Schizosaccharomyces pombe: one gene and its partners. Changing the gene in region 1 together with any one later gene gives a genetic interaction. Each region holds a gene or a part of one and is shown in the gene's direction. Other genes may lie near its edges. The genes, in order: cwf15, tls1, ada1 and SPOM_SPAC1B3.08.

Region 1 (6,837 bases):
GATTTTTGGAAGAGTCAATATCGTAGTGACATACTTATAAACAATCTGACAGAGACCTTATTTGAAAGCATTGTTCCAGATACTACGAATTCCCCTTTTTCCACAGAAGCTTTCCTTCAAGCCGTTGAAAATGGTCATTTAAATCACGAAATGTTTACTTCCTTTACGGATATTTTTTTCAAGTCATATCAGAATTTAGAATCGATTAATTCCTGGTTGAGGTTGATGGCGTCCCTTTACAAAGATTTAAGTGAACTAGTTCCAGTTGGAATTACAGCGGAAGGTCGAACGATTTTAGGCCTAAAATTGAACGGTCGACATCCTTCCGACAACGGGGAAAAGATTCGTAACAAGAAAGTGATTATTATTCAAGGAGGATCTCATGCTCGTGAGTGGATAGGTATTCCATCTGTTTGCTATGCCGCATGGCAATTGTTGGCAAAATATGATTCCGATGGTCATGTCCGAAAGCTTTTGGATAAATTTGAATGGATTTTTATTCCAGTTTTAAACGTTGATGGTTATGAATATACATGGTCAAACGATAGACTGGTAAGTGGTTTGTAATGAAGCATATACTAATTATTTGTCAGTGGTCAAAAAACAGACAGCCTCTTAATAATTCCGAGTGTTTTGGCATAAATCTCGATGCGAATTGGGCATTTGGCTTCAACGGTAATATTGATCCTTGCAGCAACGGTAAGCGAACTATTTTTTTTGATGACTTATTACAACTAACAAACTCAAGAATATGGAGGATTATCACCTTTTCAGGCTAACGAAACTATGGCCTTGTTCAATCTGATAACTGAATCCTTGTCGCAAGAGCAGAAAAAGGTCGTTGGATTTCTTGATGTGCATTCGTATTCACAATCTGGTATGTTTCGACAGTCTATTTTCATTTACTAATTAAGTTAGTTTTGTGGCCTTATGCATATACCTGCGACTTGTTTCCTCCTGATACTGAGAATTTTGAGGAATTAGCAATTGGCTTAGTTAAAGAGTTGCATCGCGTAAATAGTAGATACTACACATATCAACAAGCATGTATACCGTATGATGGATTTCATAAACATTACCTACCTGGAACTGCCATTGACTGGGTTTATTTTGCTGCTGATGTAGCATGGCCTTTCAATATTCGATTACGAGACATGGGTGATTATGTAAGTTGATATCTCTAAAATTTTTTACTAATTAAACAAGGGATATTTATTACCTGCTAAACAGATTGTCCCCACAGCTAAGGAATTTTTTGCGATGATTCTTTACTATGGAGAGTTTATCGCTGAGTATGCATTTTAGTCCAAGAAAGATCAATAATTATTCGCTTATCTGTTGGCAATTTTGCCAAATTTAATTATAGTAATTATTAATTTATGAAAATAAATACCTTCCTTCCAGGTGGTTCAATTGATGCGTTATTTACCTGTCTTAACAATAAATCCAGTTCTATCAATTAACGTTTTTTAGAACGTTATAAGAATTTAAGAGTGAATACTTACTAAAGTAGTGAATCATGATTACTTTGCAAGAGTAAATATTAAGATTTTTTGGTGTAATCGTATTTGCACTCCACCAACATAGTCTCAATAATAACAGTTGTGAATTGCATATTTTTTCAATATGACGACTGCACATGTATGCTCAATTTACATATATATCCTCTATTTTATAATTTAAAACTAACTCATGTTTAGAGACCCCAATTTGATCCAGCTAGGGGGCATTCAGAAATGGCCCCTACTAGGATAACGTCTAGTCGCGCATTACCAGCTCATTTAAAACTAAAATATAGACAAGAATCTCAAGGAACTGAGGAAGAGGTCAGAAAACAGGATTTACGAGAGGCATTGTTACGTGCAGAGGCTGCACATTTTGCAACTCAAGAACATGGTGCCTCTTCTGAAGAAGTAAGCCAGAATTCAAAACTCATAGAAGGTTTCACTTCCCCTTCAACGGACGATAAACCCAATAACGATGTTGAGGTTGATTATCAAGAGCTGTTACGGCAGACTTTGGAGGCGGACGAGGATGCTAGCGATAGCGACGACAGTGTGGATAGTTCAAATAAAAATTCTGAGGTATCAATTAAAAGAAGAAAAACAGAATCAAATTCTCAAGAATCCGTTGACTCATCAAATTCAGAAAGTTCGGACGAAGAGTCCGATTCAGAAGATGAGACACAACAGCTACTTCGAGAGTTGGAAAATATAAAACAAGAAAGAAAACGAGAGCAAATGCTTCAGGAAGAGAAAAACAGAGCACTGGAGCAAGAAAAAAGGGAACGGGAAATAGCTTTTGGAAATGAGCTTTTGAATAAAGCTTCTTCAGGGTCTTTTCAAGTTAAGCGTCGATGGGACGAAGACGTTGTTTTTAGGAATACACATAAAGGGGTTGATGACACACCTCGGCCTGGATTTGTTAATGATATGTTGAGAAGCGAGTTTCACAAGAAGTTCTTGGCAAGATTTGTTGATTAAATCACCTGTGGGTTTGCTGTCTTCTTTTCTTTCCACAAAACAAAATTTCTTCATTCTACTGCTATCATACAAGGCAATTTTTAAGAATGTTACTTATAAATGAGATGATAATGTTTAATTGATAACTTGCTTCTTTTTTTGTTTTAATACTGGCTGTACTGAGTTTAGTAGTTACAATTGTTGGTATATTAAGTTTACAAAATTTATAATTGCAAAGCCTTTATTTGAGTGATGCATATCTTATTTATTCTCTCACCAAATCTGCGTTAACGGAAGGGGTTACTGAAAAGTTTACTATAATTTAATGTAAATATTTTATCATTTTTAAAAAAGACAACTACTATAACTTTTTGTACGAAGGAAACATTTGAGAAATACTATATATATACTTTTGAAGTCGTTTGCTTTTACTTTTGAAATCACTAATTTATTTAACATAATGCAAGGATGGTTGCTCAATACCGAAATATAGTTTTACTACTGTACTGGCTAATCACCACTTGACTTTTACCAAGACATAAAGGCTTTCGTAAACAAAATGGCTTTGCGAGTTCCAAAGGCCTCTGGGCCTCAACTGTTTCGCGAAGGATATCGGATTATGCAGGGCGTAGAGGATGCAGTAATCCGTAATTGTAATGCTATTCGTGAACTTTCAGAAATCGTAAGGACCTATAATTTATTAAGCAAGTTTCATTCATTTACTGATACTTTTAGACCCGTACCTCTTTGGGTCCAAATGGAAAAAATAAAATTGGTATGTTGACTCAAACAGTTATTTCATTTCTTATTCTCTAACACACACATAGTTGTCAATCATCTGCAACAGACGTTTTTGACGAATGATGCTGCGACCATTATACGTGAATTGGAGGTTATTCATCCTGCTGCTAAACTAGTTGTCGATGCTACCCAACAACAGGAGAATGAGGTAAGTTAATTCATTAACTGTACAATTTTTTTTGAGATACACTTGTTTGAACATTAAATAAGCGGATTTTTTTTCTTTGCGGACTTTATTTTAAGCTTCCTTTACCTTTTGATCCACTCATGTGCCTTACAAAAGGGCATTTTAGAAAGCACTTTGATTACCCTTTTATCAACGTTTTCATGTTTTATATAACTCTATCGTATTGACGCTTACTTTGTTTATTTATACTTCAAATATTTGTACATTGATTTGCTCTTAAAACCATTTTCTGTTTACTAACCATTAGCTTGGTGATGCTGCAAATTTTGTGGTTGTATTTACAGGTGAACTTTTAGCCAAGGCTGAAAACATGATTCGCATGGGTCTCACTCCCTTGGAAATTGCTAAAGGATACGAAATGGCTTTATCACACACTATGGAGGTTTTGGAGGAAATTTGTGCTGATAAAATTGAGACTGTTGAAAGTGAGAAGGAGCTTATTAAAGCAATTCGAACTTGTATATCTTCTAAGCAATATGGAAATGAAGATTTCCTTTCGGATTTAGTTGCTAAAGCGATCCTCACAGTTCTTCCCAAAGATCCATCCAAGTTTAACGTTGACAATATCCGTGTGGTTAAAATTATGGGAAGTAGCCTTTATAACTCTCAGGTTGTAAAGGGCATGGTATTTCCTAGAGAGCCAGAGGGCACCGTTACACGTTCAAAAGAAGCTAAAGTTGCTGTTTTTTCATGCCCTTTGGATATTTCTCAAACCGAAACAAAAGGCACAGTATTGTTGCATAATGCTCAAGAAATGCTTGACTTTTCTAAAGGAGAGGAGAACCTTATTGAGTCTCACATTAAAGAAATTTACGATGCTGGTGTTAGGGTAGTTGTCACTAGTGGCAATGTCAATGACTTAGTTTTACATTATTTGAATAGATTTGAAATCCTTGTTATTCGTGTGCCAAGCAAATTTGAATTACGTCGCTTATGTCGGGTGGTTGGCGCTACCCCGTTGGCTCGTATGGGTGTTCCCATGCCTGAAGAGATGGGATCCGTCGATGTTGTTGAGACGATTGAGATTGGTGGTGATCGTGTCACTGTATTCCGTCAAGTTGAGGATATTACACGTACTGCAACAATCGTGCTTCGAGGGGCTACTAAGACATACTTGGATGATTTGGAAAGAGCGATTGATGATGGTGTAAATATCGTAAAAGCTTTGGTCAAAGATAACCGTTTAATCTTTGGTGCTGGAGCTAGTGATATGCAACTCTGTATTCGTCTAATTTCAGTTGGTGAAAAAACTCCTGGTATATATCAACATGCAATCAAACAGTATGGAGAAGCATTTGAGGTTGTTCCTAGGACTATTTCAGAAAACGCTGGATTAGATCCTACTGATGTTATTAGCAAACTTTATGCTGCCCATCATAAGGAAAACGGTGAATCAATTGGAGTTGATGTTGAATGTGAAAATGATGGAACATTAGATGCGAAAGAAGCTGGTATATTTGATGTTTTATTAGCAAAAAAATCAGCAATTAGATTAGCAACTGAAACTGTACTCACTGTTTTAAACGTTGATCAAGTTGTTATGTCTAAACCAGCTGGAGGTCCAAAACCACCTGGCCCCAACCCTCATTGGGATGATGATTAAAATTTAAGTGAGTTTCATTTTTCTACTAGGATTGGATTAAAACGATGAATAGTTTTTGTAAAAATCTGCTACTAATTTTCTATTGAAATTAAAAGCGCGTTATCAAAATAATTAGGTACAGACATAATCCATTGAAGTAAGACATTTATCATTAAAGGTCTCTAAATCGTAACGTTCTCTAATAACGGTAAAGTAAAGTTGCCATGTTTATTAAAATCTTTTAACAATTCAGTCGGTGTGCTGCGCTGGTCTCTATTTTTGAGAAGTTTTTTCACAAATAAGCGGAACCGCCATGAAGGATCGTCGTTATCATTAGTATTTCCAGTAGATCTTTTGAATGGCGATTTGCATAAGTGCCATGTATAATCACATCTTACAAGCCTTTGAACATAACGTTTGATCCTTACATTCTCAGGATCCAAAGTTGGGTAGGAGTCAAAGGGAAGACGACCCTCTAATAGTGCAAATAAAACTATTCCGAGAGACCAAGCGTCCGCGCGAAATCCATCATGTGCAATACCCATATAAACTTCCGGTGGTGCATATTCTTGGCTGCCGCAGCTGGATTGCACTAAATGATTTTTACTGTCAACAAAAATAGAAAGCTCAAAGTCAGAAATCTGAATTAAAGCATTTGGGTAGTTCTTCCAATTATCAATCGTCTTTATAACATTATAAGGTTGGGTAAGCAATATATCTAAAGACAAAGTGTTAGTTTAAAATCATAACTGTAAAAGTTGAAAATCCTTATTCATCGAGCTTACTTTCAAGTTTTAAATCTCTATGAATCAAACATTTGGAATGAAGGTAAGCAACTGTATGTACTAACTCAGAAAAAATTCGCCCAACAAATTCAAGGCTGAAATCCGAATGATGTTTTTTAGTGTAATGATAGAGATCTCCTCCCATACAATAATTCTCTACGAGTATTAATTCGGCGGAGGAAACGTAGTAATTTAATAGCTGCACAACACATGGATGCGACAAAGTTTTGAGGGCCCAAATTTCTTGCCGAAATACTTTTACTCTAGCTTTTTTTTCGTTTTGAGACTTGGATGATAAGTGAGTATGTTTTAGGACGATGGAAGTATCAAACTTCTTATTATTAGATTTGACAAGCAGTACTTCCCTTTGTTCCGTAGAGGTGATTTTAGTATTTATAGACCACAAATATTTCTCATTCTCGTCTGAATATAAAGCATATCCTCTACTTCTGCCTAATTGAAGAGAATACAATGATTTTTTTTGTATATTAGTTAAGCCAAAAATTAAATCGGAAAAAGTCTCTAAATCTCTATTAAATGGAGCATAGTTAGAAATTTCTAGTTTAGTTAAATCGTTCGTCAATGATTCAGATATATCAGTCTCAGACGGAAGAGCTGAAATATTCGGATTTACATGACGAATTTTATTTGAAAGAGGATATAGTTGCAGCGATTTTTCTTCGCAAGAATGTTTTTTTTCAGACATTAAAAGCCCATTCTTCCTAGATAGGGCTCAACTTTCTTCGAAATATACAAAATTCCAAAAACGGCTTCGATAGGATGAAGTCAGGTACTGACGCATATAAAAGGTTAGGATAGGTATTCTAAAAATGCTTATTGACTAAGACTGCCACATTGATTGACAGTTTAAAAAAAAAAAGAAAAATAATGAAAACTAAGCATTACATTTCATGGATTTCAGCTATCACCATATAGACCAGCTGCACTAGAGTCGTCCGAAGAGGGAGAACTATCTTTTCCATAGATATCTGAGTCTTCTGGTAATTCTTTAGATTCCTC
Region 2 (7,878 bases), on another chromosome or scaffold:
AAACTCTACTCTCCCTGAGAGAAAGTTGCCTAAAGGTTGTATGCCGTTAGCTGCACTAGCTGCTAATTGTATGCCGCAGTACTTTTTTGTTCCTGGGCCAGTTTACTACGAACGTGAACCCTACAAAAACTCTGCCGCTATTAATGTTAACACTGGTACTGTCACTCATTTCGTGGCTTTGGCCCCTTTCAAAAACTCCAAAAATGAGAAGTTTTCATACGCTTTTACTCTCTACCCCTTGACAACTGAGTACATGCAGCCAGCTCCTCCTAACTGTACTGCTTCTCCATTTGAGCATAGGCCAATTCCCTTAAAGCGTGCTTCAGAAGATCAAATTATTCCCCAGCAAACAAATAAATTCCATAAATCTAAATCAAGCACTGCTCTCTTTAAATCTAAAAAAGATTCTAGCTCGTCCCTCAACAAAATGCACAAGTCAGAGTCACATAGTGCACTCAATAATTTGCACAAGTCCGAATCAGGCACTTCGCTCAATAATAGACGGTCTAAAGTTGGACGTGAGTTCCGCTTCTTATCTCTGCGTTTTTTCCACCGTCACTAACTTCTTTTCTCAGCCGGGTCATGCTTCTTTTGTTTGAGTAATCCAAATGTTGCACTTCACTTAATAGTCGCTATTGGTAACGAAGCTTACATGGGTACGTTTATACACTCCAATGTTTGCGACACGCTGTTTAAATTTTACTCTTTTTTATACTAACGACTCAGCGTTGCCCAAAGGCCCTCTTACTACCACGGCATCGAATACCCCAGCTTTAGCTTCCTCTGGTCATGTTTTGATTATACCAATTGCGCATGCTTCTGCTTTAAGTACTTTGTCGGACACCTCATATGAGAAAACTTTAAATGAAATGAATCGATTTCGTAAAGCTGTAACTGATATGTACAATGCTTGTGATTCCGATGCTTTAGTATATGAAATTAGTAGAGCTAACGGAGTTCATTTGCATTGGCAAATGATTCCCATCCCCAAGATTTCCTCACATCGTATTGAATCAGTCTTCCTTGAAATGGCAAAGGAAGCTGGTTACGACTTTGAGGAAAGGGATGTAGAACCTCATGAGCTGAACTATTTCCGTGTATTTCTACCCTCTGGAAAAATCTTAATTCATCGATTACAACTAAGAGAACGATTTGATTTACAGTTTGGGCGACGTGCTGCTGCAAAAATTTTGGGTCTTGAGGATAGGGTTGATTGGAGAAAATGCGTTCAGACAGAAGATGAAGAAAAAGCTGAGAGTGAAGCTTTCAAAATGTGTTTCAAACCTTACGACTTTACATAAATTTAGTATTTCATTATAATTCATAAATAAATTATTTAAATTCATAACTGGAACATCATTCCATTAAAAGGTGGACGTCGCTTTAATACCTTCACTTCCTATTCGACGCATGGCCTCTTCGCCGCCCGTTGCTAATATAGGTTGTTCAAGGGCTTCTGCAACACATTCCCATGGGCTTCTACTGCCACCCCATCGTAGGATGGCTTTACGAAATTTCTCACCAGCCTCACGGCTTAATGGATTTCCAGCAAAAAGTTTACTAAAGATTAGCGAAGCCAATACCGTATCAAAAATGTATGAATAATAAGTAGCGCTATATCCATAAAGATGACTAAACTGAAGATACCAAGCAGCAGGTGGAGCAGACTCAAACCCACTGAACTTTCTGGTTACATTAGTAACTTCATCGATAGAATTAAATGACGGATCTAAGACAACCTTCGAGTGAAACAATTGATCCACCATAGCCATACAAATTTGAGATTGTAAATCTAAGGGTGCTGAACTATTTTCAACCATGTTATGATGGTTCAAAACTTGTACAGGTAATGGAATCTCAGTTCCTTCGTAGCGAGCATAAAGCGGTAATACGGCTGGATTTGACATAAAAAACTCCATAATAATTGAAGGAAGTTCAACAAAGTCGGTTGCACAACGAGTTCCGGCTAAGTTCTGATATTTAGTATGACCTAGAATGGAATGCATGGCATGCCCCATCTCGTGAAAAAGTGTTTTCACATCCCACAAATCTAAAAAGGTAGGATCCATTCCACTAGAACGTACGAAATTACACAATAACGAAATGACAGGTATTTGATACCGTTTGTTATCCTTGACCCTTATATTAGTAGCATCATCAAATCCAAGACTTATAGAATCGTCAAAGCTTGTCAAGTCTAATTCCCGAGAAGAACGAATTGTAAAATGAGCAGCTCCATCTGTTTTTCCTGTTCGAGCAAATAGATCGAAATAAATTACACCCATTACATGATCATTTTCATTGTAAACATTGACCTTATTTACATCAGGATGCCATACCTCACCAGGGGAAATGTCCGCTGGAACAAAACGAAGCCCATATAAAGAACTAAATAGTCTAGATAGACCTTGAATAACTGTACCAACAGAAAAAAAACGCCGATAATTCGTTATAGAAGGGTTTAAAGAAGGCTTTTGATTTATAAGAGATTGTTTATAGCGAGCAGTATAATATTCCCTGTCCCAAACATCAAATGATGGAAGAAAATTCAAGTTTAACTCTTTTTTCTTCATTAACGCGAGATTGTTTAAAATCTTTTTTAACACGGAAGAATTTTTTAATGATAAGTTCTCTAAAAATTCAACAACATGTTTAGGAGCATTAGCCATTTTATCTATAAGTTGTAAATCTGCAAAACTACTTTTTCCCACTAGTTTCGCAACTTCCGCTTTAGACCTCAAATAGGAATTTAGCAATTCGACTTCTTCAACTGTTCCTTTATGACCTTCCATGTAAATTTCTTTCCTGACGTCGGGATTTGCTACACTAATCAAGGCCTGTGTACCTTCGTATCCAACAGTTGGAATCATAATAAAGTTTTTGTCATTCTTAGAGAGTGAGCGTACAAAATATGGGTCCGAACCAGCCAGACGTTGCTTAGAAATAGTTAAATAACGCTGAGGACGATTCATGCTATTATTAAAAAATGCTCTTCCAAGAGTTGCAGATTCAGAGGACTTTTTAACAAAGGAGTTTCTTTTCGAGCTCTCTAAATTTACGCCCGATTTTTCAAAATCTTGGAGGAATACTCTTCCAACAGTATATGCTTCAGGATCTGTATCTTTCAACGTAGGAGTCTGTTGTAAAGAACACTTTAATTTTTCGTAAAGACCTTGATGAGTGTTTAAAGTGTTCATCAGCTCAAATAGATAACTGTAAGCTTCTTCTGCTTTCATTACCACCATCTTGTCAGGATGGGCGCAGCGCACAAACTCAAAAAGGTCAATGACACTGCATAGTAAGTTAGAAATCCTGTCAAATTTGCTGACTACAATTGACCCGTCTTCAGTATCCTCGAGCAAAAGATCCTCAATCACGGCCTTACATTTTTCAGATGCAGTTTCCGCGAGCCTTAGGAAGCCGGTATCTTTGTCGGAAAGGAAGTGATTACGAAACAATCCTACTCCCTGAATTCCATTTCTTTTCGTTATCTGGTTCACAGCTATATTCTGATCATCAAAAATTTGACGCAACAATTGGTCTTCCGCTTTGCGACTTTGAACATTAGAATATTTTCGATAAAGACTAAGAATGCACTGCCTATTTCCAATTACTTTTTTTTTTCCCAATGTAAGCAAAGTTCTTACTTGCATCGTAATATGCGACAAATTTTTGGTACATGTACAGGCTATATGAATGGTATATATTTCCAGGAGGGTTTACTTGAAATACCAACCACAAAAAGTATCCGCATGAATAGTATACATATAAAAAAGAAAAGCAATCGATCGTTCAGAAGAAGAAAAGTTTTTGGAAATGAAAAAGAATTTGATTTAGAAGAATTAGATGATAATGATATTCGTCTACGGCAAGCTTTGGAAGCTACTAAGAGGCGAAAAATTAGAAATTCGATTATCGGGATAAATGCTGAAAAGTTATTAAATCAAGAAACAAAAAAAGAGAAACAATTGAACACTGCTAATGAGCCTCATGAAGCTAATGATCAGACCTCAGCTCAATCGTCGAAACTTATAGAGGCGCAACTTCCAACCGTCGAAGATAGGTTTGCTAAACAAACAAACGAGGTTGACATCAACACGCATTTATTAAACTTTGTTGAAAAAAAACTGAAACAGGAAAGGTTGGCCCAAAACTACTCAGAAAATGGAGAGACTAATGCACTTAATACAAAAAATGAATCGACGGTACAAAACATAAAAAATTCCTTACATCCAAATGAACATTCATTTATTAGAGATGCAGCTGCTCTTGGTGCTATACGTGAAGTAGATTTAGGGATTATTAGTACCGACGTTGATAATTTGAAAAATGGTCGGAAACGACAAAAAAAAAGAGCAAGAATGAAAGAAAAACTAGACTCGAAGGCTCTTCGCACCTCTGAGGACGCTGCTCGGGATGAATTTATTGAAAAAATGTTAAAACCGATATCCCAAGATGAAGAAAGTAAGGGAATCTACAGGCGTTTTCGCGTTTACAAGGATGGAACTCAGGATTAACGATAATAAAAAAGAAGCAACAGTTTGGCAAGGTTCATTAATTCAAATTATTTATTACATTTTTTGAGTAATCAATTCGGATAAAGAGGTTTGTTTGTGTTTTATAAAATCCTTACTCAAAACCTCAAATGTTTATTTATCAAAAATATAGTTTTGTAACTTTTAATCATTATGGGCATTAAAAAGAGGGCTTTTGCTAGAAAAGACGAGCTTAACTAAATAACTAATTTTTCACAAGTTCTTCATTTTGAGGCGCTGATTCATCGTTTGTTGAATTAACAGCGACAGGAGGAGGAGGAGGCAAAGGAGTTGTTTGGGAATCGTTAGTAGAAGAAGCGTCTTTGGTTTTATGATCCAATTCTCTGCTTAGTTTTTCTTCTTCATCTAAATATGATTGAATAGAAGAATCTTGGATAGCGCCTTTATGAGACTTCTTATGTCTTTGATAGTGCGGGATAGATATTTCATTGCTAGATCCAGCATTAGCAGAAGCGATTTTAGGTGGTTCTGGAGTAGGCAAAAAGTTTTCAGTTTCACTGGGCTGAGACACTTTATGATCTGGACCCCCCAGCATGGGATTTGAAAACACAATGTCCCCAGGTTGTGGAGGAGGTCCTGACAAAGGAGCGGGTAAGCGATGCAAGACGCCATGTCCAACACCACATCCAATAGCTCCATTACCTCCCCAATGACGATTTGGGACAATGGTAACTTGACGAGTGGAGTCGCGATAATGATTGTAGATATACAGGCGTAAGGGTCTGTTGAGATGCTGTTAAATTGTTAGTCAAATAATTTATCTTAGCACATAATTTACATACAGACTCAATTAGGTCTGAAAGCGCTTTTTCTCCTGTCATCATTCCTTCAGGAGTTCCGACGATATAATCTTCATACGGAACAAGGCTAGCTCGTGCAACAGGAGAATCGTCTATAACATTCAAAATATGCCAAATGGCATCCACGGCAGGAGCGATTGATGCCCACTGTAAAACCATGCCAATTTTTTCTGTAGTCGTTAGAAAATTTATTTGTATTCAATAAGCGTTCATAAAAATACATCCAAAAAAGATATAAGAATCGTTAACCGCAGCTAGAAACTTACCGTCACTGTTAATTTTAATATTAACTTTCCTCGTAATTTGCCCTTTTAAAGAAAATACTTCTAAAGTTACTTCGGGGGAAGAATCACGAAGCAAAGCCATAAACATTGAAGGGTCTCCATTCTGTGAAAAACACTTTAGTAATGATAAAACTATAATCAGTTCATACCAGTAAGATCCCATTCACTGCCGTTATAAAATCGTAATAAGACTCAATTCTGGCATTATAGGCTTTCGAATCGTTTTCAACCTTTAATACTCTGAAACCACATGATTCATCTGATTCTCGATGAATACCAGCTAAAGCTTCTGATTTTTCTTTAATAAAGTTCTTTAAACCACCAAACATTTCGATTGTTTAGTACTTAAATAGGGTTGGTGGTGATTTAGGTAATGGCGCGGTTGACTCGCTATGATATTAAGTTCATACAGTCGGAAATTTATGTGAGTAAAATGATGCTGATATTAATAAATTAAAACAAAAAAAGGAAAAAGAAAAATTAATAAAGCTGTTGGAAGCAATCACCGCTCTTTTAAATATTTTACTGTCAAAACATCATAAAAAATAAAAAGAAATGAATTTCATTAAACTTTACATGCTCATTATCAAAACGAAAGGTTTGTTTGTATAAATAATCGATTCTCCTCCCTTCGTATCCATCTCAAAATCTTATTAACATTTGCAATAAGCAGTTGACTGCTAGTGGTAGCGTTAGCAATACAATGAAAGTCGAACGATGCAGTTGACCACGTGAATAGAAGCAAAGATTCATGGACAGTCATATTAATTGAGAAAGAATTTTTTTTGTGAAATGCCTGGTCGTGTAAGCTAGCATAAATAGCATAAAGAGTTCTAAAAACATAGTTAGCAAAGCAAATGAGCCCAAAGATAGCGATCGTATTGAAATTGTAAAGAAAAATAGATCATTGTATACGTACCTAGTATTGAAATTGGGAGTTGAAAATGAATAGCCAGGAGTATAAAACTGTGAGTATTTCTTTGAATAAAACAAGTAATGTGAAATACAAGGAGATCCGGGATTCCTTGGCGTAGTTCTATCCATTTCTTCACAATAAATGAGCTTTTTCAACCATCCATGATCCTGAATTTCCTGAGCAACTTTGCATTTCACTGATTGCATTTCAAAAAAGACACCACTTTCGCTGCTCCCCATTATCAAGACAGTGTCCTTACATAGGAAATAGCTATAAATGTAAATATAAGCATCTGGATTTAGAGTAGGAAAACAAACAGGCACCCAATGCTCCATTGAATCATTAAAAGACTGTGTGCGGAAGAGTGATAGGAAAAGTAAATAGAGATCATTAGCATGTAATAAAAGCTTCTTCGCCTTAACCATACAAACAAGCCGACCTCGTATAGCTATAAAAGTAAACAGCAGAGATTTGGGTGTTTCTCTCAACAGCAGTTGCGACAGCTGATCACGAAAAGAGGAACGTAAAGGAAGAGGAGATATGGCATTCAATGTGGGGACTAATTCATAATCATTAAGTTGATCACATAGTTCTTTTAGGAACTGCTCGTTGCTTCCAATAAGTCTTCTCAAATCAAAATTTGGGCGGGAGTTTAAGGTCAGCTGCATAGCTTTCGCAGTAACCCCAGTAAGTATTTGGCAATATAAGAGGTTTAACTCACTGAGTAAATATGCTGCGCTTAAAGTTGTCGATGGCGATACGCCAACAAGATAAAGAGGATTTTTGGAGAGAACAACGATAACATTGGAAAAGGTAGAAAAGCTTGTTAGCTCTTCTTTCGACACTTCGAAAGAGCTAATAATTGCTTGTAACGCGCCAACGGTTGATGGCTCAATTGAATCATCAACAATGTTACTAAACACGGGCTTCCCTGATGAAGAGAATATCAAATATGTGCGCTTTTGTTTTGCCAAATCAAAAGATATCAACGAAAGTAGTTTTATAATTTCATCAACAGCCGTATTGTTACTACTGCTCGATACTGAAGTGCTTACATTAAGCGGAGAGGAATTATCATGCAATATATCAGAAAGTAATTGTTCAACGTTTTCCACGTGGCTTCGCAATTCTGGTGTAGACCTGCTTACTTCTTGATCATCCTCTGACACCGAAGGCGCTGCCATTAGAACATTACCAGGGTTTAACAGCAGTGATCCACATTCCGACTCATGAGATCTATGAACGTTATCATTTTCCACTTCCTCCTTGATTGATGAATGCTCAGATGTTGGTTCCATCAACTGGCTGTTTTCATTAGTGGG
Region 3 (9,145 bases), 660 kb from region 1:
AATCTAATCACTATCCAAAAATTTATTGGCAGAAGCACCCAGATACAGGCGTAGAGTGTTAGGGGAGCAATTTACCAATTTGCAGCGAACCTTTTTGCGCCCTGCTTCATCGTGAGCACGTAGTCGATGACAGCCCCCAAAGGCAAAATAATAAGGCTTCCCACTCTTTTTAAACGTTAAAACATCAACAGGAGGAAGCTCACCAGCTTCCAAATCTTCTGAAGTCAAACCGCATGAAGCTGGAGGAGTTTTCCCTGTCATGGTTTCCATCATACTATTGACTTTGTTCATATCTAAAACAGGAGGTATAGGACGAATTAACTCAGACATATCAAGCTCAACAATGTTGTTATTTGAGCCAGTGTGAATCGAAGTCATGATGGTTAAAAATGAATGAAAGAAAGAATATAAAAAAGATAAAGTGAACAGAAATTTTTATAAATAGAACAGAAAATTATAAAAAAAGGCAAGTTAATAAGAATGGAAAAGTGGATATTGATATCGAGTATATTTACTCCTTGATCTGATATCGTTTCCTGTTGTACTAATGATCTGCCCCACAACCTATCTTATCCCGGTATGTATATAATAATTTACAAATATGACATCATTATCAAAGATGAATCGATACTTAAAATCTTATGTAAAAATTTGTCAGCATGTTAGCGAAACACGTTAAACCGACTAGGACAAAGCAACGTGGTTACGTTACGAGGTCTGGGTTTGTGTTCTTAGTAAGGTAGTTGGAGTAGCTTATTCATTAAATGTAGATGGCAATAAAACACTATTGCAAAGATGTCAAAGTGTAGAATGATGCTACCTAAATAGAATTTCAAGCACAAATACTTAGGTATAAATAACTTGGAGTCGACGGAGAACTGTAAATGCACGAGTACATTCAAAAATGTGTAAACAAAAGGTTCACTTTCTGAAAACGCTTTCTAAAATGTGACAGAGATAACCGACACAAGATCATTAAAACAATATGAGTATTGTTTTCGAATGGTGAAAGAAGCATTAGCTAGTTGAAGAGTGCAAATTTTGGTTAAGAAGAAATTCATTGGTAGAATGTAGGCTTGAACCGTTAGTCGTCAACAAAAGTGGAATTTTAAAGATTGCATCTGAAATCCTTAAATTTTAAGAAAATCCATCCTTAAGTCAGGATTAAGAAACCATAGTATATTATTTTGTTTGTATAAGTTCGGCTGCTATATTTGCTGAGGCCAAATTGATTCTTGGCCAACGTTTTATATCATAAGATTTGAAGGCAATGTAGCAAATTGAATATTAGATTATTTTAACACTTTAAAAATGTTAGGTAATGTAAGGAATAACATTTCAATTTAAAGAAGGACTGAGCGACAAATGAAAGGCTGTTCTTTTTTTTACAATTGTTGAGACAATTACAAGAACTATGGTACACATAAAAACTTTTAAAGAGTAGCAAGGTTTTAATACAATTCTTAAAGTTTTTTGAGCAAACAGATCACAATGATCCTTTCATATGTACATGCTTTAGAGAAGTAAGGTCAATACTTCAATCGGACTTCTCATCTACAATGAAAACGCGAATTTCATAATAAATACTAATCATCCATCCGTTCTCTCATATCCTTGGTATCCTTTATCCTTCCCATTAGTCAATCTCTAAAGCCATTAATCCTCATTTTTTTATAATGCCATCGCTCAATTCCCGCAAAACATCAAACCTTTTATGAACAGATACTATCATTTACTTACAATATGTTTTTAGCAACATAGCTTCCTATTAGCCTGATGTGAGATTAACTTCGATAAACTTTCAATATTAAAACTTGCATTCGATTTGAATCATCTTTACTGCCATAAAATAGAATTGCGATTTAGGATCAAGTTAGCACGACATCATGGTGTTTTCCAATATTCGCGACCTGTTCTCAACCACCACTCACCACTTCATTAATTCCAAGTTTTAGAATTCTTTAGCTTTTTGAAGTATTACTTGTGAATTCCTCAAGTGATAGTATTTATTGTTGAAATTGCTAAATATTTTTCAATTTCATCCTGCATTGTTTCCTTCTTCAAACATTATATCAGGGAGAAAATTGAAGTGTTTTTTTGCCTGGAAATCTAATCCAATTGCTACGAAAACGAATTATCATATCAAAAAGGTAGAATAACATTAAAAAATGAATCCTGAACGCTGGGCTGCCGATTTAGTCTCTAATGTTAAGGATTACGGCAAGCGAATCATTGACTATGCTCATGAAAAAACTAGTAACCCTCAACCTGTTACAGTTCATACTACAAACAGTGCCAAGGGAAGATTGGGAGAATTTCTTTATCAAAATAGAGTATCAGTTGGCTTAGGATCGGCCGCTTTGTTCCTTGCTGGATTATCCTATTACAAACGCTATGATTATGTACGCAAGCGTCGTGCTCCACGTGCACCCAACCACCAAAAAACCCAAGTTGTTGTCTTATCTGCGTGGAACCCTCTCGCCTCAGTAATTGCTCACGATTTGGATCGTCGTGGTTTTATCGTCGTTGTTCTTGTTCGCGATGCATCTGAAGCAGCTACTGTTTCTCTCCAACAACGCCCTTACATTCAATCTTTGATTGTTACTCATAATGAGGCTGTTGAACGCTTCCTTTTGTCTTTTTCCAATCAATCTGGCCCTAAGGAGTATGCTTTGCGCCTACGTGGTCTTATTCTCGTTCCCACAGGAGATTCTTTGTACACTCCAATTGAGAACATTGGAAAAGATGCTTGGATCAGTGCTTTTCAACAACTCAGTGAATCTTTCTCTAACGTTTCTCGAATGATTCCTCTTTTGAAAAGTCAAAAGGCCAGAATCATTGGCTTGTCTCATGGTATATTATCCGCTTATGAGCCTCCCAATTATGCTGTTCCATCTATTCTTTCTTCTTCCATTGAAACTTTCTTGCGCACTCTCAAGCGTGAAACGGGCTTACAGGTTATTTGTATCAAACTTGGAAATCTCAGCTTTTTGAATTACGATCATTCTAGCTCTCCAGGTAAAAGCAATTATCCTCCTTCGTTGTGTACGGAACGTAAGGTTCTAAACAAAATTTTTGACTCCTTGCTTGGTTGCTGGCCCTCTCCAACTCGCCATGTTGGTTGTCGCACCTTTTTCATGGTCACAGTATCACGGTTCCTTCCTACGTGTGTTATTGATGGGATTTTCTCCTTGTTTGGAAAATTTCACTTCTTTTCCTGCAGTCTTATTAAGCGCAGCTAAATACTTGTATGGAGCCTCAGTTCTCTCTGTTTCCTTGTCAAATTGAACTCATCCCATGTCTATCATGGTTTGGTATAATGATAATGATGCTATGAAAAGATGTCATTGATATCCATATCTTTTGCTTGAGTTTTTTCAATTATTTTTGTTTCTATTTTTTTTACGCTCGAGGTGTAAAGCGAAATCTAGTAACTGTTAAGCTCTTTTCCTCAGAGCGAACTTAAGTAAAATGGTTTATAGGTTATTTTACCGTTCGTACTATTGCTACAATTTCGATTTCAAATTGTATTGTCTACTTAAATGTGCAAGTGATACAAAAGATAGGATGTATATTGATCGCTACTGAAACCGTAAAAACAAAAGTTACTCGTAAAATGAGTGTCAATTTTCTCTTTAATTTATTGAATGAAAATATTAAAAATCATTCGATTTAAACAAATTCAGTTTGGCCAGAATTCTAAACATTTCAATTGCCCTTAATTTTGTTTGCCTCAATAAATCATCGCTCTATTTCGTTAAACAACATAATGTCTGTACGTCCTCTCTCACTATGTGGTTTACTTCCGTATATAAACGGCTCTTCACCCGCAAGTGCACGCGCTCCTCTCAAAAAGGTGTTGTTTTCGTCGCATTCTTCTTGAAGAGGCCAATTTTTGGGATTCTTTTTTATTCTAATTTTTAGAGCTGAAATGAACATGGAACAAGAAGATGATCAAGTCCCAGCTGTTGCAGCTGAAACTGTTCCTTTAAAACGATATGTAACGAATCCTGGTGCTAATCGAGACGAAGAAGTTGCAGCAGCGCCTTCGTCTCAAGACACTCCTTATTTTGATTATGCTTATGAGCGCTCTTTAAGACATGTAAGTATTTAAGTGAAAACCCCCCAATTCGATATATTACGTGTTTAACTAACCATAACCTAGCAAGATGCTAAATTTCTGGCTATGAATGGAACACAAAACGGTCGGGATGGACTGCCCTCTAAAAGCCCAAGACGACCATCAGTCTCGGCTAGCACAGTAAGGAATAGTGATGATGTAAACCATAGTAAAGCTGGTCCTGGAAGTGGAAAGCTTTTGAATGATACGCTTCAAAGCAAAATAAGTAGCATTCATATGCCCCATGTGCAGCAGGGAGACAATGCTGTAGTTTCTAGTGTTGGTGGCCCTGAAACCGATCCAGGAAACATGGAAACGACTGACCCTCTTTTCTCTGATGAATTGGCAGAAATTTATTTGTCAATCCATAAATGTATGGACATGCGACACAAATATATTAGGGTGAGCTTACAGGGTGAGCTTGACAATCCCATTGACGATGATTCATGGATTATATACCCTGATTGCAAAGAAGGTGAAGATGATACGGGCTTGTTTAATTTTGCTGATTGCAAAATTCCTGGAATTGAAAATGAAATGGAATATCACATGGATCATCAAGGTATATTTCAAGTTTATGAGAATGACAGCGCATACATTGCGGGGACACCGTCTTTTCATATTCCTACTATCCGCGATTATTATATAGATTTAGAATTCCTTCTTTCGGCTTCATCGGATGGTCCTAGTAAATCATTTTCCTTCCGTAGATTGCAGTATCTAGAAGGACGCTGGAATATGTATATGCTGCTAAACGAGTATCAAGAGCTGGCAGATACCAAAAAAGTACCCCATCGTGATTTTTACAATGTACGTAAGGTAGATACTCACGTCCATCATTCTGCTCTTGCGAATCAAAAACATCTCTTGCGATTTATCAAAGCTAAACTTCGTAAATGCCCTAATGAAAAAGTTATCTGGCGTGATGGCAAATTCCTGACTTTACAAGAAGTATTTGATTCGTTGAAGTTGACTTCGTATGACCTTAGTATAGACACGTTGGATATGCATGCTCATACTGACACCTTTCACCGATTTGACAAATTTAACTTGAAATATAATCCAATTGGTGAATCTCGTTTGCGTACTATTTTCCTGAAAACCGATAATGATATTAACGGTCGATATCTTGCTGAACTTACCAAAGAGGTGTTCACCGACCTTAGAACTCAAAAGTACCAAATGGCTGAATATCGTATTTCTATCTATGGACGGAATCGTGAAGAATGGGATAAGCTTGCAGCCTGGATTATTGATAACGAACTTTTTTCTCCCAACGTTCGTTGGCTTATTCAAGTACCTCGTTTGTATGATGTGTATAAGAAGTCCGGTATTGTTGAGACTTTTGAAGAGGTCGTCAGAAATGTCTTTGAACCACTGTTCGAAGTTACAAAGGATCCTCGTACACATCCTAAACTCCACGTGTTTTTGCAACGTGTTATCGGGTTTGACTCTGTTGACGACGAAAGTAAACCTGAACGCCGTACCTTTCGCAAATTCCCTTATCCGAAACATTGGGATATTAATTTAAATCCTCCATATAGTTATTGGTTATATTACATGTATGCCAACATGACTAGCTTGAATAGCTGGAGAAAAATACGTGGTTTTAACACCTTTGTCCTTCGTCCTCATTGTGGTGAAGCTGGAGATACGGATCATTTGGCCAGTGCTTTCTTATTAAGTCACGGTATTAACCATGGTATTTTATTACGAAAAGTTCCTTTTCTTCAGTATCTTTGGTACCTTGATCAGATCCCTATCGCAATGTCTCCATTATCAAACAATGCACTGTTTCTTGCATATGATAAGAATCCATTTTTGACGTACTTCAAACGAGGTCTTAATGTTAGTCTTTCCACTGATGATCCTTTACAATTTGCATTTACCCGAGAGCCTCTGATTGAGGAATATGCTGTAGCCGCACAAATTTATAAGCTCTCTGCTGTCGATATGTGCGAATTGGCTAGAAACAGTGTTTTACAATCCGGTTTCGAACGTCAGCTTAAAGAACGTTGGTTGGGTGTTGATTTTCAGGATATTGATCGTACTAATGTACCTATAATTCGCCTGGCTTATCGTGCTTTGACTTTGACACAAGAAATTGCGTTAGTGAACAAGCATGTCCAACCATCCAAGCACCCTTCAAACCATGATTTGGAGGAATTGATCCATAAATATGATGCTATGACTGGTACTAGCGACCCTTTGTCGGCTTCTCCTCGTACGAACGACGCTACAATAAGCAGTAGATTGTCTCTTCATGATGGTCATGACCATGGTGCCTTTTTCCCTGGACTAAGTGTGATTTCAGAGCGTCGTCGACGTAAGGATAGCATGGCTAGCAGTAGCCAAGATTTGAAAGATTAAGGTTTCTATTATGAACCGCTTTCGTTTATTTTACTTTTGCTTTTTTTTTCATGCAACTTTGATGTATTGAAACATTTGGGGAAGGCAATATACCTTTGATACCTTTGATAATTGTGCATTCTGTTTTAGAACGATATTTGTTCTTGTTATGTTAAATAACCCATAAAAATATATATAACATATATATTACCTCCTTTTCTTTCCTGTCTTTTTTTTTTTTTGGAATGAATGTTTACTATACATATTTAAATAGATAATGATATCCATGTGAACTAAAATGGTATGAAAAAAGCTTACAAGTCTATTTAATGGAATACTTATAGAGAATTAATTCTCAAAAAAACAAATCATGTGGATCATCTTCATTATAATAAAGTGAGTAAAGTAAGATAAGTTACCATGTTACAATTCGAATTTAGTAATAACTTAAGCAAAACGTTAAATTGATTAATCAGTTGACGCGGACAATCAGCAAATACTAATCGCACCAAAAGTGCACACAAAAATAAACAAACTAGTTTAGTATATCGATTTGTAGTGTGATAAGGGTTACCCATTCGTGGTTCAAGAGGATGAATTTAAACATTTTTTTCAAGTTCTTTGACAAATTCATCCATATCGAAATCTTCTGAATCTTTCTTCAAATTAGGCAACATAGAGTCTTCTAAATTGAGTATTAGTAAAGCGAAAAAAAAATGAGTACTATTGCACCCGCCAAAGTTCGTTAAACTCGTTGAGATGCAAAGAAACTAACCTTTAGGAGGAGTGTTTTTAGTATTGAGATATGCAATTTTGGCAGATTCAATCAAGGATTCTTGTCGGTGATAGTTCTCATCAATCTCCTTCTGCTTTTGACATTGAATATGACTCCTATGCTCGTACATTCCAGCACCTAAGCCAAGGACGAGGGCTGACCAGCGTAATGTCTATTCGTTAGAGATGGTTAAAAATACACATGGATATTTCGTGAAACTAATTCATTAGAGGATACCTTTACGTTTATGGAATTCATTTTTAGAGCGTTATATCACTTTTGTAAAAGAGTGGGGAGTGTTCAAGTTCATTTTGCATCCGAGCACAATCGAACTCTAAACACTTAACACGAATAGTGCAACGTTTAGTATTAGTTTAACATTCTAATAAAGGTTTTTTTAAAATATTTCAGCAAACGCTTTACCGTATTCTTAATTACTCCGCGGTATTGAAGCTGCTACCAGTGCTTGATCCATTTCGAAAACAAAGATAGCATTAACACGTTACGACACATTAAATTGTATACAATAACAAAACTTCGAGTACAGTAGTTTACAGTGCACGAAGAAGTCCCAAGGTAAAGCAAACGAAGTAGAGTTGCTCTCCTTCACCAAACACAATGTCGAAAGCAGCAACGGTTCCCGTGGCATTTCAAGACCGAGAAAAGCCTCAAGAGGTTCGGCTTTCAAATATTATGGCGGCTCGCTCAGTCGCCGATGCGATTCGAACTAGTTTGGGACCGAAGGGAATGGACAAAATGATTCAAACAGGAAAAGGTGAAGTTATTCTAACAAATGATGGTGCAACTATTTTGAAGCACTTGTCCGTCCTTCATCCCGCTGCGAAGATGCTGGTCGACTTAAGTGCCGCACAAGACGTTGAAGCTGGTGATGGTACGACCAGTGTAGTTATCTTAGCAGGATCCATGCTCGCATGCGCTGAGAAGCTTTTAAAAAAGGGAATTCACCCAACAGTTATCGCGGAATCTTTTCAAAGAGCAGCAGGTTTTACTGTTGATTGCATGAAAGAGAATGCTTTGGCCATTGAGCTGTCTGATCGTGAATCACTCTTAAGGGCAGCAACCACATCTCTAAATTCCAAAATTGTTTCACAATACAGTAACCTTTTAGCTCCAATTGCTGTAGATGCCGTATTAAAGGTCATTGACCCTCGTGTTGCGACAAATGTGGATCTGAAGGATATTCGTATTGTTAAAAAATTAGGTGGTATTATTGACGATACCGAGTTAATTCCCGGATTGGCTTTGACACAAACGGCAGTCAAGAGCGCTGGCGGTCCCACAAGGATTGAAAAGGCTAACATTGCGCTTATTCAATTTCAATTATCTCCTCCCAAACCCGATATGGAAAATCAAGTAGTAGTCAATGATTACAGACAGATGGATAAGATTCTTAAGGAAGAACGTCAGTATCTTTTGAATATGTGCAAAAAAATAAAAAAGGCAGGTGCCAATGTTATTCTCATACAAAAGTCAATTCTCCGGGATGCTGTTAATGATCTTGCTTTACACTTTTTGGCCAAACTCAAAATTATGGTAATTAAAGACATTGAGCGTGATGAGGTGGAATTCATTTGTAAATCTACTGGATGCAAACCTATTGCTGATATTGAATCCTTTGCAGAGGATAAACTAGGACATGCGGATTTAGTAGAAGAGACATCTTCTTCTGGTGAAAAAATCGTAAAGTTTAGTGGTGTTAAGAATGCTGGAAAAACAGTCTCCATATTATGCCGAGGTGCTAATCTGTTGACTTTAGAAGAGGCAGAACGCTCTCTTCACGATGCTCTTTGCGTTATCCGCTGTCTTGTCAAGCAGCGTGCTTTGATTGCAGGTGGCGGTTCTCCCGAAATTGAGGCCGCTCAGCGTCTTTTGGAGCATGC
Region 4 (7,842 bases), on another chromosome or scaffold:
GTCCAAAATACGATCTGTTTTCTTAACATATTTTAGCATATATGTCGAACACGTCTCTGGAGTTCTCCAAGCATGTGTTTCAGCAATATATGAATCAACACCGTTGGCATAGTACAATTGATCCGTCGGCTTAGACATATCTCTTTCTTGCTATATAAAGGAGAGCGAAAGAGTAATCGACAGTAGATTATTAAGAAAAAGAAAAGTTAAGTGTCTCCTTATTACCTTAGCAGTTTGCTACTTTAAGTTAGCAACTTTTTTAATGTTCTTAGCAGTTGGAGGTAAAGAGTAGATGTATAAGATATATCGTGATAGACTAAATGGATATAGATGGCTTCCAAGTAACAAATTCTAGACTTACGCCTCAAAAGAATAATTATATTAGACCGCTGAGTATGTTTTCACGCATTAAATGCTTTTAGAGCCATGCAAGGCTGTGTCATTATCCTTTTTTATAGCATTGCGCATGAATCTTACCTAAATCATGTTCCACTATTCATTTAAAAACTACGCTGCAGAATTGCTTAAAATATCAAACACTGCATATAGTAATAATTATAAGCACTACCTATTTATAACAATAAATATTACAAGGAACTTGATGCTTACCAAATTCTCGAAACATTTTTAATGCCAAAAAAAAAATTAAAATTAAAACATTCTAACTCTATTTTCAATCATACAATCTAAGCATCTTAAGACTATGCTATCATTATAAGTCCATCGTCAATCGCCTCTGATCTTCTGTTGTGAATTGCGAAGTGAAGATTGAGCATTACCACAACACACTCTGCAAACACATTGTGCAACCGATATATGAAAGTCAACTTATTAATTAGAAACATTCAAGAGTAGTTATTATAACCTACAGAATTTTTAACGTATTAAAAACAATTTACAGTTACAAAATGCTCGTGATATACAATGTCAGCAATACTACACTACGCTATGATATACTACGTTGCGTATCACTATAGATCATATGTTGGAATACTAGCTAAGATCCGTTTATTGATAATCACGGGTAACTATCCGTCTATATACATAAATACCCGTTGATAACAACTATTTAGAAATATTATAAATAGAGTTACAACTGAACCTTGTTCCTCAGTTCAGTTATGAGCTATCTCGGTGACCGATACTAACAGACTTCTTATAACAATAAATATACATTGTTAGTTAACATACCGCATACCGCTACATTGTAGATCGCAAGTAAAACTCACCACAGTTCTATTTATCGTTAAAACAGATATCAAACTGCGTAGCTAACATACAAACCTAAATAGCATTATATACTGTCTCGAGATAGTTCATCGTAAAAGTAGATTACGGACTACGTAGGAAATAATTTATTTCTAATTGTAAACATGCCAAGTCAGTGCACTGTATATTCAGGTTTCAGCTAAGCGATATAGTTTAATACTTTCTCCAAACTTTCAAGTTTTAACTTATTTCTTTTCTATTAATTTATCTAGAATAACATTCAATTTTTTCAAGTCGGGTGATGTTTTGAAATGAATTTGTACATCACTTGGTACAGTGCTTAAGCAATTGAAATTCTGTAATTGTGTCAGTAAAAAGGGCCAAAATTAAGCTCTCTTTGTATTCTTGCCAAATTAAAAGCTACAAATTACTTGAATCTCAAAGCAGGATGATCTACATAGAAAGAGACTGAAGCATCCCTTGTTTTCACCTATTCAATTTGAATGAGAGCTAATGACCCATCAGCTAGTTTACTGTCTATCGGATACTTAAAGGATAAACAGTGCATGAATTCAAATATCTCTGAAATAATAGACTTTAATTAATTAATTTAATAAATCATTCCTTCCTGAGCTATTTTACAAGGTTTAAGAAACGCTCTTAACATTCCATAGGGCAGAAAATAAGCGGCTTCAAGTGTGTATTCTATAAATTAAACCAAATCATTAGTTGGGTATTCCGTGTCATCGCTAGAAGAGTTAACATTAGCAATACGAATTTTAAAATCATAACAAGCTATAGCACTCTGCGTAGGCTTGTTCCAAATCATATAGCAGTTCTCTCTTTTCCACGTCATTCAACTGGTCAGTGATATTCATATTATTGATTTTTATCAACCATTGAACCAACTTGTTTCGACACGAAACTTGTATTTTTAGGCTCTCCGTTAAATCATCCATGCTTACAATCAATTCCGACAACAAAGGATGTAGCTGGTCTTTGGCAATAAAGTTAAGTCTAATGGCATCTAGAGTAGTAATGAAATTTTGTACCAAACCGGCAATTGATTTCGCAATGGAAGCAGATGGGTTGGATGGAGCCTTTGTTGGATTAACAGTTTGTGGAGTAGTATCATTCATAGCAATTGAAGGTTCTGCAGTTGTAGATATTGCATTGGAAAAGGTGGAATTGGACTGAGATCTTTCGTCCGATATCCCCTCTTGAATTCTCTTGATTGCTCTTGGGCATTGCAGTCGATACTTTGAACAGAAGTCTTCAAATGAGCCAAAAGCCTGAGTAACTCTTTCGTCACTAAAGCAAGACTCCCATTGTTGTATCAAAAGTTCACAGGTAGAATTGAAATCAGAAGTAGACACGGCGTCTTTCGTAAAAGCTTTCTCCAATTGCTCTAATGCCACCAAAATACTGTAAAGAATACTTAAATCTTCACGTACCTGTTGATTTTTAGTATGAAAATTGTTTTCTTCTGAAGTTTCCTTTTCTAAAAGGTTCAGATCGTAGTATTCAGTCATAGCATTAATAAACTGAAGAAACAGATGTCTAATTGTCCTTCAATCTTTCAAAGTTATAAACTAGCTTCGAATATATAATTAATTAATTACAATTGGGAAAAAATCAATTATAAATCAATGTAATGAATGACTTATTACATTGGAATAAATTGAGAGCTAGATGTTTCACACTGTCGCACAGTCGTCCATCGTTCTCATTTTGAAAACACATAATGCATCAAATATTGCACTTCTCTATCCAACAATTAGCCAAGTTAACGTACTGGTGCAAATCGCTATTAAATGTCAGCAATACTACACTACGCTATAATACACTACGTTGAGTATCACTATATGTCACATGTTCTAATTATATATCGTACCATGTATGATACGATATGGAGATTGATCTTAATGATAATCTATTAAGATCAATATTATCTGAATACTATAAATAGAGCTACTGCTGAACCTCGTTCCTCAGTTCAGTTATGAGCTATATTAGTGATAGGTAACATTATAACCCAGTTAATACAATACCTATACTCAGTTGCTACTTATACAACCTGTGTATTGTAATATAATAGATCACAAGGAAAACTCACCGCAGTTCTACGTATCCTTAAATCAGATACCAAACTGCGTAGCTTACATTAAAGTTGTCTCTAAGAATTTCGCAACAATGTGATATTTGTATATCGTTGCTTAACGCAGCCATTGAACAAATGTGATCGCATTGACATAATTATTAGTTTCCCTTTACAAAGCACATTTCAGTACGACTAGGTTGCTTTTCTGAACCATTATATTATGAACCAGGGTAATCAAGCTTTTGAAAATGCAAGAAAACCATTTCGCAGGGCTAATTTGATTACGGCCCTAGGTCTTGGCGCGTTTGCCTTCGCGACCTTTGCATATTCGGTCTACCGAGTTCACGAAGATACTTTTGAAGACGTAGTAATGACTCCTGAATTGGAAAAAAAAATTGCGGAGGATCGAGATCTCTCAAAAAAGAATTGAAAGTGTTCATCTTGATTCACCCATTTTTGGCTTTTGCTAGTACAAGTGACATCGTTACCTCTCGTGGGCAGCGTTCAAGAGCGCGCACACGACGGTGTCGTTGGTATTGAGACAGAGCACACTGGCGAAAACACAAACGGTGCTTGTGGACCCTTTAAAGCCCGATTTTTACATCTTCCCTTTCCCTTCCTTTTTTTTGGTACCGACCTGCTTAAAGGGCGCTTCTGATTTATGACAACTATGAGTGAGAGGCCTTTACCTTTAAACGTTTATTTCTCAACCATTAATTCAGCTGTTGCGCGATCTAATAGTGTCCTACTAGCGAAAAATTTATCAATTCCTTGGGGGAAAACGCTAACCTCAGTGCTGAACTTTGATATTCCTGGAACATATTCGTCTGACGATGTTTTGAAACTTACTGTAGAAAGATCAATTTCAAAAAACTGGACAGACATTGTACTTTTGCATTTACAAGTTTTGCTGTACTTAGTTCGTGACCATGATCCTGCAGCCGCCTTTAAACAACAGACTGAACTCGCACAGCATCTATATCGTGAATTCTCATCCGGCAGATGTACCGGTGTTCATTTACCAGTATTGTTTATAGTATGTAAGGATCTACGATTTTTGGCTATCAATGCACATAATGCAATGCTTCGCCGCAAACAGCAGTTGAAAGTAATTTCGGTTGATGAGTCGGAAGAAAATGAACAACTTGAAGCAACCGCTAGGCTGATTAATCGTGCATTTACCATCTGTATCAATGATCGAGCTCCTCTGTCGACGTCACGTAAATGGGGAGCTTATTATATTATGGGTTTGTTGTTTAAACTTTACTTAAGACTAGATTGTGTGCATTTGACCAACAATGTTCTGCGTGCCATGAAAGTTGTGGAACTTCCTGACATTTCCCTTTTCCCTAAGTCTCACGTCGTAATTTTTCATTATTACCTTGGAATTGTTGCCTTTTTAAACCAAAATTACAAAAATGCCTCAGCTGAGCTAGAGATTGCCTTTTCCTTATGTCACAAAGGTTACAATCGCAACTTGGAATTAATTCTTTCGTATTGGATTCCAACTCGCATTTTAGTAAATCATCAGCTACCCACAAAAAATTTACTCTCTAAATTTCCCAATCTGGCTTCTGTCTATATTCCTTTGACTAGAGCACTAAAATCCGGTAATTTAGGTGAATTTGGAAAATGTTTGCAAAAAAACGAAACCTTGCTTGCAAAAACCAAAATTTACCTCACCCTAGAGGGCACAAGAGATTTGTGTATTCGAAATCTTTTTCGTAAGACTTGGATCATCTGTGGGAAATCTACTCGTTTACCTGTTTCTGTATTTCAGATAGCCCTTCAAGTTGCCGGTACTGATTTACCCAAACTGCATGTAGAAGCTATTTTGGCCAATATGATTAGCAAAGGATACATGAGAGGATATATATCTCGTAACTTCGAAACTGTGGTTTTGTCCGCCAAGGATCCGTTTCCCAAAAATGTCTCTACCTAGTTATGTCCATTATGAAAAATACGTTAAGATTTGTCGATGCGGCAAAAAATTTAAAACTACAGCGTTTACGCTATTTTTAAACTCTATTACTAATCTTATGAATGATTAGAACGTTTATTAATTTAATTAATTCGTCCGTTTTTGATCTCTATAGTAAGTTAACTGAAAATCATGTAGATATACAATGCTTATTTATATCCTTAATCTCCACCAGACAAAAGTGTTTACTTTTTTCGTTTGTACAATAAAAATTTTTTTAAAGTCAATTTAAAGAACCTTCTTAGGTAGTATCACTGACTAGTTTACCCATTGGAGTAGACCTCCAATCCAAGTCCTTCTCGAAAGCTTCTACTTGAGATGTGTCATTGAGAGTAAAATCTACGTTCATCCTTCTGCTTTCAACAAAAGAAAAAGTGCTTTCAAGTTTGTTCAAGAATGTTAAAACATGCTTCCCCGGTGCGGATTCATTTACCAGTCCACGAAGTTGTGCGATTATGGGAGCAGAGAGCTCTGGAAAGGCAATTGAATTGGAAAATATGGCAAAATATTCAGTCATTAGCAAAATGACTTCTTTTCTGACATTGTTACGATAAGATTTTGACAACAAACATTCTTTAGGCACATGAAGAGTAGAATACATGTCAAAGTTATACATTACTTCCTTATCATCAGACAAAGGACTCGATCTCCTAAGAACAAATGGGATCATTTCTAAAAACTGAGAAGACAGGGGGATGTAAAGGCGGGTAGATCTGCAAATATTAACAAGTGACTTTAAAAGATGGAGACGTAATGGGTAATATTGCTCCGTAGGAATTAAACGAATGCAATCCAGCGTCAGGTTTATGGCGATTGGAGAAATTTCTTTGGAGATTGATTCATAATCATTCCATAAAAATGATATAACATGTAACCAAAATCTCAGCGAAAGCGTAAATTGCCAATTGTATATTAATTTGTATGCATCACTGCTTTCAGACTCCTTCAAGCAGCGCTTCAAATGAGCATCCAATTGGGAGAGATAAGCGAAGGCAATTTTTTGATAAAACCGTGAGTTAAGAGAAAGAAGTTCAATCAAGAACAGTTGAAGCTCTTCAAGGGTATCGAAATCGTTAACTTCACTGGGAGAAGACTTAAAAAAGTCCAACAAAGGCGAGTAAAATACTTGAAAAACTGCCACACTCAACGACGAATCAATTTTGCAAATATGATTAACTGCTTTTTGAATATCTTCCCGAGCTTTAGAATGATTAACAAAAATATTACATAGCTGTGTAACCAGACCATTGGGAAATTTAGAAAATTTTTTTATGTGAAGTATAGTATCAAGGGCCGAAGACAAATTTTGATATCCCTTTTTCTCAAAATTAAATTTTGTTAATAAAATCTCGGCATACTCTAAACGAAGGTCCTGAAGAATCTTTGACCTAGCGTCAAAATCCACGTTGTCCAAAGTCTCCTTTAAGTCCTTTTCAACATTTTTCCACAACGCATCTGCTTGATTGGTCCCCGATAATTTCTGACAATATGCAATAGCAGCAAGTAAATCCTTTTCACTCCGTCTTTTTTGAGTAGAAACTTGATTTAAAGAAGCGCCCTTGGAGTTTACATTAAGAACCGAAATATCTTCTGATCCGTCTTTCTCATGCGATGTATTAGAGGTCGTTACATCTGAATATAGTTTAGAAAGATCTTCTTTGTTTTTATTGTTATCATTTGTTCCACTTTCCAGTTTATTTTTTGTATGTGAATTTCGATTTTTTGTGCCGTAAACTTTTTTTGAACGAGCTAACTGCTTTCTCCGCTCGATAGTATTTTTTAGGTGGTTTTTAGTAAACTTTTTTGTAGCCTTGGAAGCTTTACCCATTTCCCCGAGAAAACAAAAACACCAGTTCAATTGCAGATGAACGTAGTAGTAAATTCACTTCGCTGTAAATGTGTGAGAAATTCAGGTTGAGTAACACGGGTAACAGTGCAAGGATTTCTCAAAAATTAGCAGCTTTTATGGTATTTGAAAAGTGAATTGGAATATTTTGACTGTAGGATTAAAAATATGTGCTCCTTCAAGCAGCTGATCATGCATATAACGATAGCTATATTGGCACTTGTGAAGCATATTCATGCGATTTAGATAAAAAATACTTACCGTAAACGAAGTAGTTTCAGTAATTTAATATAAAGTTGGTGAATATTGATCCAAAAAATGGCAACTTTTAAAGGGAAGTAAGAGTTTTGGTTAGAAGATAGCTCATCCAGCAATCGTCTAGCAATATAAATATCTTGATCTCGTCCTATTCCGTATTCGTGCATATATGCCATGTTCCAAAGGCCCATACCGATTGAGCTTTGCTCATAAGCAATTTTGTAACATGTATATGCTTTAGAGTAGTCTTTAGGGGTGCCAATTCCATAGTAGTAATAATCACCCAGTTTAAAAATGGCATCAATATCACCCTGAGCGGCAGCACGAGAGTAAAACTCATACGCAAATTTATCATGAGCAGCCTCCTGCTCAGATTGGGTATAGTTAAAGTAGCGGAATACTGAGTTAATTAGAAACTTATTCTCATCCATCAAATATGCTGCATTA

The links.
Region 2: mutations in cwf15 (region 1) and tls1 together harm fitness more than expected from each alone (negative genetic interaction), as found in Schizosaccharomyces pombe (one large-scale study listed by BioGRID).
Region 3: mutations in cwf15 (region 1) and ada1 together harm fitness more than expected from each alone (negative genetic interaction), as found in Schizosaccharomyces pombe (one large-scale study listed by BioGRID).
Region 4: mutations in cwf15 (region 1) and SPOM_SPAC1B3.08 together harm fitness more than expected from each alone (negative genetic interaction), as found in Schizosaccharomyces pombe (one large-scale study listed by BioGRID).

What each region holds. Positions count from the first base shown.
Region 1 is NC_003423.3:1,036,763-1,043,599, reverse strand, and holds cwf15 (protein Cwf15), read left to right. Parts: upstream 1-1,570; 5' UTR 1,571-1,626; coding exon 1,627-1,641; exon of another isoform or gene 1,642-1,700; coding exon 1,701-2,483; 3' UTR 2,484-2,612; downstream 2,613-6,837. Other genes in the region: ecm14 (carboxypeptidase), read left to right, coding at 1-552, 594-699, 749-877, 919-1,166, 1,207-1,305; chaperonin-containing T-complex theta subunit Cct8, read left to right, coding at 3,022-3,144, 3,198-3,237, 3,290-3,411, 3,698-5,053; serine/threonine protein kinase Ppk27, read right to left, coding at 5,215-5,750, 5,818-6,523; rhn1 (RNA polymerase II transcription termination factor), read right to left, coding at 6,736-6,837. UniProt on the Schizosaccharomyces pombe protein: Involved in pre-mRNA splicing.
Region 2 is NC_003424.3:635,659-643,536, forward strand, and holds tls1 (splicing factor Tls1), read left to right. Parts: upstream 1-3,733; 5' UTR 3,734-3,752; coding exon 3,753-4,517; 3' UTR 4,518-4,740; coding exon of another isoform or gene 4,741-5,289; 3' UTR 5,290-5,338; coding exon of another isoform or gene 5,339-5,526; 3' UTR 5,527-5,622; downstream 5,623-7,878. Other genes in the region: CwfJ family splicing factor mug161, read left to right, coding at 1-518, 576-656, 727-1,301; peptidase Oct1, read right to left, coding at 1,365-3,653; grh1 (GRASP family protein), read right to left, coding at 4,741-5,289, 5,339-5,526, 5,623-5,743, 5,790-5,969; autophagy associated protein Aut12, read right to left, coding at 6,227-6,473, 6,560-7,854.
Region 3 is NC_003423.3:376,459-385,603, forward strand, and holds ada1 (adenosine deaminase Ada1), read left to right. Parts: upstream 1-3,841; 5' UTR 3,842-3,931; coding exon 3,932-4,102; exon of another isoform or gene 4,103-4,165; coding exon 4,166-6,490; 3' UTR 6,491-6,842; downstream 6,843-9,145. Other genes in the region: srx1 (sulfiredoxin), read right to left, coding at 4-378; SPOM_SPBC106.03 (steroid dehydrogenase), read left to right, coding at 2,169-3,242; tim11 (F0-ATPase subunit E), read right to left, coding at 7,069-7,154, 7,245-7,416, 7,482-7,502; chaperonin-containing T-complex delta subunit Cct4, read left to right, coding at 7,863-9,145. UniProt on the Schizosaccharomyces pombe protein: AMP deaminase plays a critical role in energy metabolism.
Region 4 is NC_003424.3:4,938,696-4,946,537, forward strand, and holds SPOM_SPAC1B3.08 (hypothetical protein), read left to right. Parts: upstream 1-3,848; 5' UTR 3,849-3,980; coding exon 3,981-5,252; 3' UTR 5,253-5,532; downstream 5,533-7,842. Other genes in the region: SPOM_SPAC1B3.06C (UbiE family methyltransferase), read right to left, coding at 1-138; ESCRT I complex subunit Vps28, read right to left, coding at 1,995-2,741; Cytochrome c oxidase assembly factor Coa3, read left to right, coding at 3,531-3,740; noc202 (Noc2-Noc3 complex subunit), read right to left, coding at 5,533-7,119; protein Hrd302, read right to left, coding at 7,395-7,842.